Linked DNA regions of Rattus norvegicus. The protein of the gene in region 1 interacts with the protein of each later gene in a pairwise test. Links are inferred from orthologs where the notes say so. Each region holds a gene or a part of one and is shown on either strand. Other genes may lie near its edges.

Region 1 (7,389 bases):
AGGTGGAGTAGAAACCTTATTAGCCCAAGGACATAGTTCAGAGCTATTCTGTCCAGTACTTGATTCTGAATCTAATACAAAGGGACGCAACTAGAAATATAATAAAGTTCTATGTTTGGCAAGAAGACCCTGAGTATCTGTGGCTTTCCTAACTGTAAGGTGGTGGCTTTGGCCAAGTGTCACTTCCTCTGATCTCAGGCTGGAAAACATTCTGTGGACCAAGCAGATTTTCTTGGACCAGTTCTTGGTGATGGCTGAGACAGGCTACTAAAATGACAAAAGTTGGCTGGGGAAAGGAGCTCACACCTGCAGTACTGGATCCAGAGAGGGTTCTTGACCACTGCTGGACTACTTCAACGTCATGAGGCCTCTGTAAAAGCTCCCTAGCTCTAACTTGCCCATGAAGCTCTGTCTTTATCATTTTTACCCCAGACAGGAAAGGGGCTGGATCATGGGTTTAGAATCTCTTGGAAACTAGTTTCTCTTACAGAGGAGGCCCAGAGAGGCTGACATAATTAGATGCACTTTTTAAAAAAATTTTTTTTCTTCCACACCCTGAGTGCTACATTTGATTTTTGGGGTAAGGCCTCTTTATTATTTTGCTCTGGCTGTCTTGGAACCCTGGCCTCAAACCCAGAGATCCACATGCCTCTGTTTCCTGAGATAAAAGATGTCTATGCCTGACTACTTTTAACTAATTTTAAGCTGGATGGCTAGCTACCCTCCTAACCAGTGACTTTTAAGACATGAGTCTCCAGAGCCTGTTCCTAGGCTTGCTGTGGTTACTCCACCTTCCTGGGAAGACAAGTCTTCTGTGAGGGAACAGGGATGAGCAGCTAGTTCCACTTTGTCCCTCCCCTCCCCGGGGCTTACAAATTCAGCCTTGCTTCCCTTCCAAGCCAGGACTTAATAACTTTATTTGCATTTGACTCCTTCTACCATGTGGAAGAAGAGGTGGGTGCTGGCAGCGGTTTGGGCATCATGCGCCCTCTGGTGGGCCTCAGGAGCAATGAACACAGTTGGCTACACATCAGTCAATAAAGTCTAGCACAAGGTTGCAATGATCCTTACTCAGGTCTGTACTCCAGACCCAACTTCAGGGAACTGGGCTTGTTGGGGCGAAGCCCTGAACCTCTGGCTCTCATACTCGCCCGTGTTGGACACCCGCATGTTCTGACGAGCCTTCATCTGCTTCAAGCGGTCCTTGTCCACTTCCTGCTTGGTGAGGACGAAGAAGAGGATACCACAGGGGAAGCCGATGGCCCTAGGGATGGGGAGATGGGCACTGGGTTTGGGCAGGGACTGGGACTGAGCCAGAGGAGCTAGAATTAGTCCAGCTTTGCCACTTGTACAAATGCCGCGGTGAGGCATATTACTTCTACCTGTCCTTTGTGCTGAGTGCTGGAGGGAACCCACAAATCAGAGCCTCCTGCTGCTGCCTGCTTTGGACAACCATAATAGTTCTCTATTATATCCTGGCCAACTCCAAACTCCTAAGGCAGGGCACTAAAAGCCCAGTGTGGTCCTACCTACCTTTTCATCTGTCCTCTTATGGCTGATATTGATGAGCCTCTTGTGCTGAATGCTTCTGTGTGATAGCCTAAGCAGCCCAGGCTTGCTCTGAGTTAGCAAAGGACCTCTCTGCATATACTGTCTTGTGTCCCTTGCCAGACCTCTCTATTTTTCTTTACGGTGCTGCAAATCGAACTTAGGGCTTCAAAGATGTTAAGCATGTGCACAACCACTAAGGTACGTCAACCAACTCTCAATCAGAGTAACTACTACTAAAAGAGGGCCTTGGCAAGTGCCAAAGAACAGGAAGCCACAAGAGCTGGTGACAATTGCAGCTGGGAGCCTCAGTTCCCTGCTTGGCAAGATGAAAGTGCAATGTTTACCTCAGAAAGCTTAAAACATTATATGGCACAGTACTGTCATACCTCAGACATTTGCTGGAAAAAATGTTAATTTCCCTTCCTTTTACTTTAGTGATTGATAATCAGTAATATGTATTAAAACCAGAATCAGAACCACAGAACTCACAGAAACGATTCTAGCTTCTATACAACACAATCTGACACTATTTTAATTACTGGGATTGGAATGTTACCCCTGCTCCCAAAGGGAAGGATGAATCCAACGACTCCAAATCAGATCAGCTCAATTTGCTCCAAAGAAAAGCCACTGTCCCCCAATTTTACATATTATTCCACCCTCACCTCACCCCATTCTTCTGAGATTCCATCCCTTGAATCCAGCAATTTCCTTCCCTTGGATTCAGCTCTGCCCTTGCAACTTGGAGAAGTTTCTAGGTTCCAACACCTTTCAGTACACTCCCCACTGGTAGGCAAAGGGGCAGTTAAAACTCACCAGGCTAGTCCCACAGCTTTCATGGGGTTCTTGCCCCTCTTTCTGGGAATGTATTCTAGCTCAGGGGAGAGGGGCTCAGGCTCCTCCTTGCATTCTGGTGAGCTGTGGCTCTGCAGTGCTCTGGTCCTGTTCTGGGAAGCCTTGTTAGCTGTCGCTCCAGAGAGGATCCCTGTGAATAAAAGTACCGCAGGTCAGTATGGGGGATGAGGGAGGGTTAGAGGGGCTGAGATTTGAGGAAGGGGAGTGACTGCAGTTTGGAGTAATAAGTGCTGTGAAGAATCTAAAGAGAAATGGGAAAATCGCCATCGGGTGACACCTTTGGAAGCTACTTCCACGTCACTGCGGACTCCTCACCCTGGTGCCAAGGCAGTGAGCTTCGCTGCTGTTCTACTCAGAAGACAGGTTGGGAAGGACTGCAGAGGAACTCACCGGAGACATACGAATGAAGGAAATTCGGGGAACTGTTTTAAAACTGCAGGACCTTAGCTATCCTAAAGGATAACTAACTCCATCCCGTTGAAGAGGAAGCTGAAGCCCGGAGAGACGAGCTGCTTCGCACAAGGTCAAACCGCTAATTACTCAGTGCTAGAACTCAAACCTCCAGAAGCCTAGGGCTCTTTCCTCTGCACTGCGGTGAGTGTGAAACCCCTGGGACGCGGGAGTCGAAAGATGTCTCTGGTACTCTCTCTAGCAATAAGACCCTAGACATGCCGCGCGACCTAAACGCAGGGGTTGGACTGGATGACCTCTAGAGCATCTTTTCACCCCCAGACTCTCTTAAGATCATAAAGAGAGATGTGGGCAGCAATTGGCAGCCTGACTTCCTGCTGTCGCGCTGGGTAGGATGTAAGGGAAACGGAATCTTTTAAAACCCTGCCCTCCCCAGGGTCCCTCTCCTTACCCCGGAGGACGCGGGCATTTCTCGCCCCCCGGCCCTTCAGCGCCGTAGCAGCTACCACCGCCGCCATGTTCGGGTCCCACCCCCCTTCACTGCGCTCCCCGTCGGGAATTGTAGTTTGCGTAAGGGGCCTCCCCCGCGCCTTCCGTCCTGCCTACAGAGTCGAAACTACATTTCCCAGAAGTCCGCATAGCGGGCCCGGGAGAACTACTCCTCCCAGGAGACGCCGGAGGCGCGCACGCTCGCTTGTTTCCCTCCAGCCGGGGGCGGAGTCGTGTAGGGTGGAGCTTGGACTCTCCCGCCACGCCCCGGCCTGGTCATCCTAGTTCTGCCTTATGATTGGCGTCTCTGTTAGTCCACCTCTGTTGCTATTGGCCCGGATGCCGTCGCTCTTTCGGCTGGGAGTCACCTACGCCTACTTCCTCCCGGGAGGAGGGGCTCGAGTTCCGCGTCGTCGCGCAGAGCTGACTCTGGGAGGCGTTTGGGCCCAGAGAAGTGGATCGGTAGGTTTCGCCGCATGGAGTCCGAATCGGAGAGCGGAGCGGCCGCTGACACCCCGCCTCTGGAGACTCTGAGCTTTCACGGAGATGAAGAGATCATTGAGGTGGTAGAGCTGGATCCAGGCCCGCCGGACCCGGGTGAGAACTGACGCTCCTGAGGCCACGGGACAGGAGGCACTCACCCCTGGCCTCTGACCCCTGCTTCTCCCCAGTTCCCCCTCCCCCCATCCCTACCGGTCGTTCCTACCGACATTTCTCTCCCAGACCTCCTTCCCTACCCCCCACATTTAGTTTCTAGGCCTGGCTGGGTGGGGGTTCCCTGACGCCTCCCCTGGCCCTTCCCCTCACACACCCCCTTCCCATCATGCCCTCTGTCCTCTCTTCCTACACGGTCGCTGGCCAACACCGGGTCTTCAGACCTAGCCTCTCTCTCCCTCCCCGCCCCCCAAGTGCTCTCTTCCTGCTCGGTACGTGTGGGACAACACCTTAACCCTTGGCCACATGACCCACCCTAGCGTCACCTTTTTCATTCTTCAACCCTTACCCCATTCCTTCTCTATCTTTTCGAGCTCCATCTTTTAACGCTTCTCCCAAAGCAGATGATCTGGCCCAGGAGATGGAAGACGTGGACTTTGAGGAAGAGGAGGAAGAAGAAGAGGGCAATGACGAGGGCTGGGTCCTGGAACCCCAAGAAGGGGTGGTCGGTAGCATGGAAGGCCCCGATGACAGTGAGGTCACCTTTGCATTGCACTCAGGTAGGCCTTTGAAGGGATCACCTCAGATCAGTGCAGATGGGCCTTTGAGTATGGCCCATGGCCCTAGGGAGGTTATTATGAGAGACAAAAGTGAAAGCCACCTACTTTGGCCTGCAGGATATTCAAAGGAAGGGCCAAAAAGGCACTGGAGTTAAGTGAGACCCCTGAGTTCAAATCCTACCTCTGCTGTTTAGCAGTCTGTTACCTTAGTTAGCTTTCTGAATCTTGGTGTTCTTTAAAAAAAAAAAAAAAAGTTATCTTGGATGAAAGTGAATGGGAGTAACCCAAGTGGAAATTAAAGGCAGTTTACACTCGAAAAGAAGCATTACCAATAACCTCAGATGCTAGCCTCGTGAATTGTAGCCTCGTGAATTGCTCATAACTTAATTCCTACTCAGCCTGGTATGGCCTGTGCTGTCAGCTGTGACCATAGAGCCACCTCTTGGCTTGCACCTCAGAGTGCAGACTGAGGGGAACAGAACAGCAGTGGGATATGCTCTGGAGGAGGACTTGGAGCTTTGTGGGCTTGGGAAAGATTTCTCTTAACAGTCTGATGCTCCAGACAAGAACTGGATGCAGCCTTCCCAGGAGAGAATAACTGTGGCTTTGGGGAAAGGGAATGTGCTTCCTGAAGGTTCTGAAAGGCCGAACTCTAGGTGAGAGCCCTTTCTCATGGACTGTGTCTTGGGACAGCATCTGTGTTTTGTGTGAGCCTGGACCCCAAAACCAACACCTTGGCAGTGACGGGGGGTGAAGACGACAAAGCCTTTGTGTGGAGGCTCAGCGACGGGGAGCTCCTCTTTGAGTGTGCAGGTGAGAGGCTGGGGTTGTTGTGTTCCTTTGGACATCTTGGCGGGTGACTCATGTGAACACCCAGCAGCTGTTTTCTAGCCTCTGTCTTGTACTGGGTCCAGGGACCCGCAGTAGAAGTTTGGTAGGCATTCGGACAGGAAACGCTAATGGGCCAAGGGAGGCTGGCTAAGATGAGCACGGTGCTGGTGCAGGAGTAGGCAGCGGCCCAGAGAAAACAGGCTCTGGTTGCTTCATAGGGAGCCGATAGTATCTGGTCTTGGAAACCTGGAGTGTCTGGTCCCCGGAGCTGCAGCAAGTTTGATCCCTTGTTTGCTGAGGTCCTCCTACCTTTTTTTCCTGCTTAATTACTTTTAAAAGGTGACTAGCGCATGGGTCACATGTCCCCATCATTTAGATATTTTTTTAATGTTCTTCTACCACTTTTTCTTTTTTAAGGTTCTATAGTTGGGTTGGTCTTGGATGTAGCCAAGGCTAGCCTTGAATTTGTTACATCTCTTAGGCAAATTTGAGTCCAAAACTGCCTACTTCTCTTTGCAGGCCACAAAGACTCTGTGACATGTGCTGGTTTCAGTCATGATTCCACCCTAGTGGCCACAGGGGACATGAGTGGTCTTTTGAAAGTATGGCAGGTAGAGACCAAGGAAGAAGTCTGGTCCTTTGAAGCAGGAGACCTGGAGGTGAGATCCTTGGAGTGGGTCTCAACTCTGTGGGACCTTAAGTGAGAATGAGGGCTTCTGGGAGGGATGGTGGCAGGTATAGCCCTCTGTATACTGGAGAAGTTTGCCTTGAGCCACAGCACCCCTGGTCTAACAATGTATCTGTTTATCTTTAAGTTCTTGCTGACCTTAGAAGGTCACACCTTGGATAAGGTTCATGGACTCTTAGGTAGGCTGGGTAGCAGGCCTTACTTGCTGATCCTCCCTCTCTGACCAGTGGATGGAGTGGCACCCTCGGGCTCCTGTTCTGTTGGCCGGCACAGCTGACGGCAATACTTGGATGTGGAAGGTACCCAATGGTGACTGTAAGACCTTCCAGGGCCCCAACTGCCCTGCAACCTGTGGCCGTGTCCTCCCTGATGGTGAGAGCAGTCGCCTCTTCCTGGGGGGGGGGGGGTGGCTCCAGTGACTGGGGGTACTTTAGTCATCCCAGTCTCCTGCCCTACACTAGGTCTTGGCTGTGACTCCAGGGGGAGTTTGGGGACCCCCTAGTCTATCCTTCCTGTTAATTCTTTTCTTGGTGTGTCTGAGTGTCCTTTGTCCTCTGGTTATCCATGCCTTGGTCCTTAGGAAAGAGAGCTGTGGTAGGGTATGAAGATGGTACCATCAGGATTTGGGACCTCAAGCAAGGAAACCCCATCCATGTACTGAAAGGTATGAGAGGTGGTGGTGGGGGTGTTTTCCTTGGCTTGGAGGGAGGAGCCTGAGAGCCAGGTACAGAACTCGGAACCTTGGTAAACCTGCTCTGTTCTAGGGACTGAGGGTCATCAGGGCCCTCTAACCTGTGTTGCCACCAACCAGGATGGCAGCTTAATCCTGACTGGTTCCGTGGACTGTCAGGCCAAGCTGGTCAGTGCCACCACTGGCAAGGTAAGTAGCTTAGGCTTCTGTCTAAACCTTCTGTCCCTCCCTGTCCTTCTCTTTGCCCAGGTCTGTGAGCCTCTTCTCTTACCTATAGGTGGTGGGTGTGTTCAGACCTGAGACAGTCGCCTCCCAGCCTAGCCTGGGAGAGGGTGAGGAGAGTGAGTCCAACTCCGTGGAGTCCTTGGGCTTCTGCAGTGTGTGAGTGTGAGCAGAGCCTTGGCCTGGAGACCCAAGAAACAAGAGGGAGGAGGTGGTTTTGAGGAGGGATCCACATATTGGAACCAGGGAAGAGGGAAGGTGTATGAATCTAGGACCTCAAGAGCCTTCTTTGTGTCACCTGCTTCCCAGCATGCCTCTGGCCGCTGTTGGCTATCTGGATGGAACCTTGGCCATCTATGACCTGTCTACACAGACACTTCGGCACCAATGTCAGCACCAGGTATGATGTCTGGGCCTTTGTTCCTACACATTGGGCT
Region 2 (7,178 bases), on another chromosome or scaffold:
CTGGGTTCGGTCCCCAGCTCCGAAAAAAAGAAAAAAGAAAAAAAAAAACTATAAACATCCAATGCATTTTAAACATATTCATTCCCATTCCTCCTAGATCTACTGGCCACCCTCTCCCTTCCAATCTCGGGTCGTTTTTTCTTTTACTGCGACCCACTGATTCCAGTTGCCGCTGCCCAGGTTTGCACGGATGTGGAACTAGCCACTGGAGTGCGGTTGGTCGACCTATCCACAGCCACATTCTGTTGACTCATCCAGGAAAGCCAGCTCTTCTCTCTCCCAGCAACCATCAACTATCAGCAGCCAAGGATGGGGAGGGCTTGTGAGTTGCTGCAGGATTCAAGCTCTTGAAAGGGTGACTGTGTTGATCCTGTGGAGGCAGCCCCAGGGGCTATGAAGTTAAGAGTGCCATGGTCCTGTCTTGCCCAGGAGACATGGACATGACCCCAGTCCTCTTCCTCCTGCTCTTGCTCTTACAGTCTCTCTGCCCAGTCTTCCAAGATGGTCTTGAGCTTTGGGGAGAAGGGGTGGGCCATAGATGTCTCCTCTTGCCCACTGCACCAAAAAACTACTCTAATGAGGTCTGGGGTTGCACTAATCGAATGCACGATTATACAAATTTTTTCTTTTTTTTTTATTAACTTGAGTATTTCTTATATACATTTTGAGTGTTATTCCCTTTCCCGGTTTCCGGGCAAACATCCCCCTCCCCCCTCCCCTTCCTTATGGGTGTTCCCCTCCCAACCCTCCCCCCATTGCCGTCCTCCCCCCATAGATTAGTTCACTGGGGGTTCAGTCTTAGCAGGACCCAGGGCTTCCCCTTCCACTGGTGCTCTTACTAGGATATTCATTGCTACCTATGGGGTCAGAGTCCAGGGTCAGTCCATGTATAGTCTTTAGGTAGTGGCTTAGTCCCTGGAAGCTCTGGTTGCTTGGCATTGTTGTACTTTTGGGGTCTCGAGCCCCTTCAAGCTCTTCCAGTTCTTTCTCTGATTCCTTCAATAGGGGACCTATTCTCAGTTCAGTGGTTTGCTGCTGGCATTCGCCTCTATATTTGCTGTATTCTGGCTGTGTCTCTCAGGAGCGATCTACATCCGGCTCCTGTCGGTCTGCACTTCTTTGCTTCATCCATCTTGTCTAATTGGGTGGCTGTATATGTATGGGCCACATGTGGGGCAGGCTCTGAATGGGTGTTCCTTCAGTCTCTGTTTTAATCTTTGCCTCTCCCTTCCCTGCCAAGGGTATTCTTTTTCCTCATTTAAAGAAGGAGTGAAGCATTCACATTTTGATCATCCGTCTTGAGTTTCGTTTGTTCTAGGGATCTAGGGTAATTCAAGCATTTGGGCTAATAGCCACTTATCAATGAGTGCATACCATGTATGTCTTTCTGTGATTGGGTTAGCTCACTCAGGATGATATTTTCCAGTTCCAACCATTTGCCTACGAATTTCATAAACTCGTTGTTTTTGATAGCTGAGTAATATTCCATTGTGTAGATGTACCACATTTTCTGTATCCATTCCTCTGTTGAAGGGCATCTGGGTTCTTTCCATTTTCTGGCTATTATAAATAAGGCTGCGATGAACATAGTGGAGCACGTGTCTCTTTTATATGTTGAGGCATCTTTTGGGTATATGCCCAAGAGAGGTATAGCTGGATCCTCAGGCAGTTCAATGTCCAATTTTCTGAGGAACCTCCAGACTGATTTCCAGAATGGTTTTACCAGTCTGCAATCCCACCAACAATGGAGGAGTGTTCCTCTTTCTCCACATCCTCGCCAGCATCTGCTGTCACCTGAGTTTTTGATCTTAGCCCGATTATACAAATTTTAAGGGCAGTTTGATACTGTCAGTTTAGCAAAACAGTAGTAGATTTGATTCTGGGGTCTATGAGCTCCTCTAGCTTTTCCTTTTTAAATTTATTTAAAAAAAAACCTATTTTGTGTGTGAGTGAGTGTGTGTGTGTGTGTGTGTGTGTGTGTGTGTGTGTAGGTGTAGGGACTGGGGTGGGTGTGGGTGGGTGAGTATGCATGCCCGTGCATGTTAGAGGACAACTTCAGGGAGTTTCTTGTTGTTTGGGGTATCTCGTTTCTGCCTACCCTAGCTAGCCAGAGAGCTTCGGTTAATTTTTCTGTCTCCATTACCATCTCACTGTAGCACTGTAGGAGTACTCTGTCTCTTCCCCTCCCCCTCTTCCTCTCCCTTCCTTTCTTCTCTGCGTAGCTTTGGCTGTCTTGGAACTTGCTCTGTAGACCAGGCTGGTCTGGAACTCAGAGATCCACCTGCCTCTGCCTCCTGAGTGCTGGGATTAAAGGTGTGCACTTTAATCAGCTTTCTAAGAAGGTCCAGGGATCAAATTCAGGTCATCGGGTTTACCGAGCAAGCACCTTTTTACTTCCGAGGCAACTCTCCCATCCCCCTTTTAAAAACTTTTCATAGGGAAATGAGTATATGAATAAAATATGCAAAGGAATACTTAATATGGGTGTGGTGGCAAAATGCTGTAATACCAGTATTTAGGATGTCAGAGGCAAGAGGATCAGAAGTTCATTCACAACTATACAGAAAATACGAACTTGATACTGGAAAAAAGAAGGAAAATGAGACAGCCTGGGCTACAGGAGATCATGTCTCGAAAAACAAAACAAAAAATAAAAAAACACAAATTAAATAAATATTGAAAAAGCAATGCAGAAAAAGCAAACCTGATTTTTTTTTTCAAGTTTAAAGAATACTGTATTATTTCACCCGGTTCTCAGAACTCCGAGACTGGAGAGGCTGCAGTTCACCCTAGGCAGATTTGGGTGTGCACCTTGTGACTTTAAGTCTTTGAAGTTTGACGTTCACTAGGCGTCAGGTCAGAAACCAGACGTTCCATTCAGTTTTTTACTAACCTCCTAAACATTGCCCTCTCCCGGCGCAGACCACGCGCTCCTCCTACGGTAGCCCCACCCCTTCTGACTGGCACGCCTACTCCAGGAGGAGCAGGATCAGCCAATCCGAGGAGGCCTTAGGCGGGCCCTACGGCCCAGCGAACCAATAGACAGGCAGCCGAAGCCGGGCATGTCCGGGCAAGCAACTACTGCTGCCGTCAAGGCTTCCACGTGAAAGCCGCAAAGTGCGGCCCGGTCTTCAGGTGAGCTAGGGGACCGCCACAGGGAGCCCCGGGCTGCGGGTTCCTGTCGCCAGCCTCACGTGGCTCTCGGGACCGGGTGGTGTGCAGCCAGGCCGGAACGCGGCCTCACGCGGTCTTTCCCAACTTGGAGCCGGTGGGCATCAGGGGACCGCGTGGACATTGAGCGTCCACTGCACGCCTCAGCTGTGAGGATTGCGGCCTGCCCTCATACTTAAAAAACAAACAAACAAACAAAAAACTGGTCAGGTAAGCTTTTGGGTAGCATTGGGGACCTTATTGCGCCAGCCTTTCTCAAACTGGGGTCTTCACAATCGTGACTTGAGGGTGGGGTCTCGGGTCCTGTCCCAAAACTTTGCCTTCTACCTAGGGCGGTTGATGGTTAAGGGACAGTGACTTTCTGATGTCATCAGGTTATTTCGTGCCAGAACAGTGTCTAGACGGGCCCACTGACGGAGGTCGGGTCTACCAGCATGGCAGGTGGGACCCTTATGCCAGTGACGATTCTGGCCTTGCAGTTTTTTGGGAACCTTCTCATCTGGAGTCCTCTTGGGTCAGGGACCTTCACATGAAGGCCAAGTGCCTTCCATACTGGCCAGAGAGAGTTATGATGTGGAATATCTGTACGTGGCTTTGCTAAAAGAGCTGTGTCCTCTGAATACTTCTCTCCAGCTAAACTGAGTGAGTGTCATTCAGGGCTTTGGGCTGTGGAAGTGCGTTCCCGTGATAATTGTTAGTTCTGGCACGTCCACAGGTTCAGGGACTATAGGAAATGACTGCCTTTATCTTTTCAAACAAATGCAAAAATACGGAGACCTCTACTCCGGGGAACCTAATTTTAGCTTCTTTCAAACCTTGCCAGCAGGGGGTAGGAGAGTCCATCCTCCTGCCCCCAACCGGAAGTCCGTGATCAGCAGGGCTAGCACAGGTCTTCTAGGCCAGGTTTTCTCCCTTTGCTGGACTAAGGCAAATTGAGTTTCTGAATTTTTGTCAGTTCTGAGATGTGGTTTGTGGAAATGAGGAAGTTGCTGACAACCTCTTAAAAGACAGGGTACTATTCAGAGAGCAGATGAGCAAGCCGAGAGCAGTTGTGTCAGCATGGGTCACTGAGCCTCCCCCTGGCTAAGTGGACCATTACTCCTAGTGCACATGCTGGCATCAGCAAACACAGACTGTTCTTTCCTCCCCGCTGCTACTGCTACTCCACCCTGTGTCTTAGGGTTCTACTGCTGTGAGCAGACACCACGACCAAGGCAGCTCTTATCAGGACAACATTTAATTAATTGGGGCTGGCTTACAGGTTCAGAGGTTTAGTCCATTATCATCAACATGGGAACATGGCAGCATCCAGGCAGGTGTGCGACTGGAGTTGCTGAGAACTCTACACCTTCATCTGAAGGCAGACAGAAGGCTGTCTTCCAGGCAGCTAGGATGAAAGTCTTAAGGCCCACGCCCACAGTGACACACTTCCTCCAATGAGGCCACACCTCCTGGTAGTGCCACTTCCTGGGCCAAGCATATGCAAATGTCACATCTTGGGCTCCTAGTCTGACCTCATCCTCTGATGAGGTAACCACGATGTCCCCTGGAGTCCTCCAGTGACTCAGTACACCCCCTGCTCCCTAGGTGTTTACAGGCTGCACCAAGTTCTTTGCCTACTCTCCCTGGCTCTTAGGTCTGTGCTTGTCAGGTTTCTCTTTTCTGAATACTCTTCCCACCCTGGGCTTCCCGGCTCTCCTTAACTCAAGGTCTCTTCCCGGTGACTGCCCAGGTTCTCAAGTTCCCTTCCTGTTGATCCGTGGTTTGGAGGACTTCGAGCTCTGTAGTACCCTCCAGGCCTGCCACTGGGAGGCCCAGCTTGGGCTTCTGAAGCCATGAGAGAGGGACAGCAAACACAGTGGGGGCTCTGCAGCTTGCTGACTTGAGGGGACTCTGAGGAAAGCTGCCTGTTGTCTGAGGAGGGCAAAATCCAATGTACTGCAGTATGCAGGATGACCTTCTTTATTCTCCTCATAGACAGTTAATAGCCTGGATCAGTGCTGCTTGGTCCACATTTTACTGGCCCACCTTGGTGCCTTGGGCCTCCCTCACTTCACCAGCAGACACTAGGCTGAAGACACCAGTATGGGTAAGGGTGGCTTGTGGAAGGACCGCTCAAGTCAATGGCAGAAGGTGAGGTGGTAACCCACCAGACAGTTATAACTGGTGACTTCAAGTTGCTGCTGGCCCCTCTGCCCCAGCATGAGACTAGTCAGGCCTTTGTCCCTGGTGTTTCCATTGCCCACTCCCTCTTCCCTGTAGGGTTACTGCTCCCCATTTACTCGGAAGTGACTTCTGGGATCATCTGCAGCTCTTTGCCTTCTTTTCCTCCTTGTATGGCTAGCCGGCTCTCAGCGCACTGTCTGCCGCATTTCTGTGTCTGGTCCAACCAAGCTTCCCGGCCCGGGATCCATCTTTGTAACTGTCCAGCACCTGGCACAGTTGGGACCCCAGGGAACCTCTTTGTAACGTTGGGGAGATCCAGGGGTTTCAGAACAGCATTCCGTGATACAGAACTGTGTCTGAAGGCGTTGGAGGGGTGTGGTTTGGGAACAGCAGTGAGTCCACGTGGAGGTGCTCTGGCCCAAGGGTAGCTGGCGTCTGGCGTAGGAAAGAGTAAGCTTTGCTGAGGAAAAGGCAGAAGGGTGTGTGTGTGTGTGTGTTTGTAAGGGAGGGAGAAGTAGACAGACTTGGGCACAAGAGTTTATAAAGACCCAGGTTAAACTTTGTTCGGCAGATTTGGGGGTTTTCGGTGTGGGGTGTTCAGCTGGACTCTTGTTTCTGTAATCTTTGCTGCCCTGTAGCCATACTTCTCACACCACTGAGTGAGCTTGAGGTTCAGAGCATGGACTCTGGGTTCCTGTCTACACCGTTTCTTTTCTGTACAGCGAGGGTGATGATACTTTGTGGGGTCGGTGGGGGTGGGATATTCCATGCAGCTCTTGTTGAGGGGATTCTCAGGAGGCATGGATGGCATGTGCAGTGTTTGAGTGCAGTTCTTGGTGAAGGCGTCTGAGTTTTCAGGCAGGTGCTTGAAGATGAGAGGCAGGGCGTCCTGGCATCCTCCTCCCAGCCCCTCTTCCTTTGTGCTCTCTCTTCAGCACACTGCCTCGTGGGCAGACAGCCTCCAGAGCTTTCTTACCGCTGCCTGTGAGCTGGCTGGCATGGTGCCCAGGGAAGTCCCTGAGTCTTCCCTCACTAGCCTGAAGACCAAGGATGTGGCTCGGAGGAGACACAAAAGGAGAAGCCGGCAGCACCAGCGGTTCATGGCCCGCAAGGCCTTGCTTCAGGAGCAGGAGTCGTTGAGCATGGTACCAGGGCCAGGACTCTGCCCTCTGCCCTCCCCAACACAGACGCCAGCAGGCACAGAGGCTTCAGGCAACAGGAAACAACGTACCAAGGCCAGGTCTGGCAGCAAAGGCCTGTGTAGCAAAAGGCCTGTCCCCAGAGAAGCCCCAAGCTCTGGGCCCAGCAAGTATGTGGCCATTGACTGTGAGATGGTGGGTACCGGCCCCCAAGGGCGAGTGAGTGAGCTAGCCCGCTGCTCCGTGGTGAGTTACAGTGGTGATGTTCTCTATGACAAGTACATCCGGCCTGAAATGCCCATTGTGGACTATCGAACCCGCTGGAGCGGCATTACCCGTCAGCACATGCACAAGGCTATCCCCTTTCAGGTGGCCCAGAAGGAGGTAAGGACCCTGGGCCTTATTTGGCCAGAATGACAGTTTGGGGAGAGAAGCCCTGGTGTGAGGGATCGCTTTGGACTAGGGTGAAGGGCCTTGAGATTGAGAAGTCACTTTACTTCTCCAAACATGCAGCTCCTTTTCCAGAGAATGGGTTAGCATAAATCTAGGTGCTACCACTCTGAAGGGTTGCCAGGCCAGGGGCTGCTTGTAGAAAGGTTATATGACAGGTAAGGGCATGATAACTTAGAGACTGCTCAGAATCCATAAACTTTGCCCGCGGCCCTGTCCCATCTCGTTATGGTTCTTCAGTGCTTGGAAAAC

Evidence for each region.
Region 2: the proteins of Aamp (region 1) and Aen interact in binary tests that used the Homo sapiens proteins (3 or more experiments, as listed by UniProt). The link is inferred for Rattus norvegicus from reciprocal best matches to the Homo sapiens genes AAMP and AEN.

What each region holds. Positions count from the first base shown.
Region 1 is NC_086027.1:83,313,710-83,321,098, reverse strand, and holds the start of Aamp (angio-associated migratory cell protein), read left to right. Parts: upstream 1-2,773; 5' UTR 2,774-3,268; coding exon of another isoform or gene 3,269-3,335; 5' UTR 3,336-3,782; coding exon 3,783-3,903; intron 3,904-4,096; exon of another isoform or gene 4,097-4,129; coding exon of another isoform or gene 4,130-4,232; intron 4,233-4,361; coding exon of another isoform or gene 4,362-4,364; coding exon 4,365-4,520; intron 4,521-5,213; coding exon 5,214-5,333; intron 5,334-5,870; coding exon 5,871-6,010; intron 6,011-6,266; coding exon 6,267-6,411; intron 6,412-6,619; coding exon 6,620-6,703; intron 6,704-6,803; coding exon 6,804-6,919; intron 6,920-7,007; coding exon 7,008-7,111; intron 7,112-7,261; coding exon 7,262-7,352; intron 7,353-7,389. Other genes in the region: probable hydrolase PNKD, read right to left, coding at 2,368-2,536, 3,269-3,335. UniProt on the Homo sapiens protein: Plays a role in angiogenesis and cell migration. In smooth muscle cell migration, may act through the RhoA pathway.
Region 2 is NC_086019.1:142,221,445-142,228,622, forward strand, and holds the start of Aen (apoptosis-enhancing nuclease), read left to right. Parts: upstream 1-3,088; 5' UTR 3,089-3,381; intron 3,382-6,272; 5' UTR 6,273-6,335; coding exon 6,336-6,860; intron 6,861-7,178. UniProt on the Homo sapiens protein: Exonuclease with activity against single- and double-stranded DNA and RNA. Mediates p53-induced apoptosis.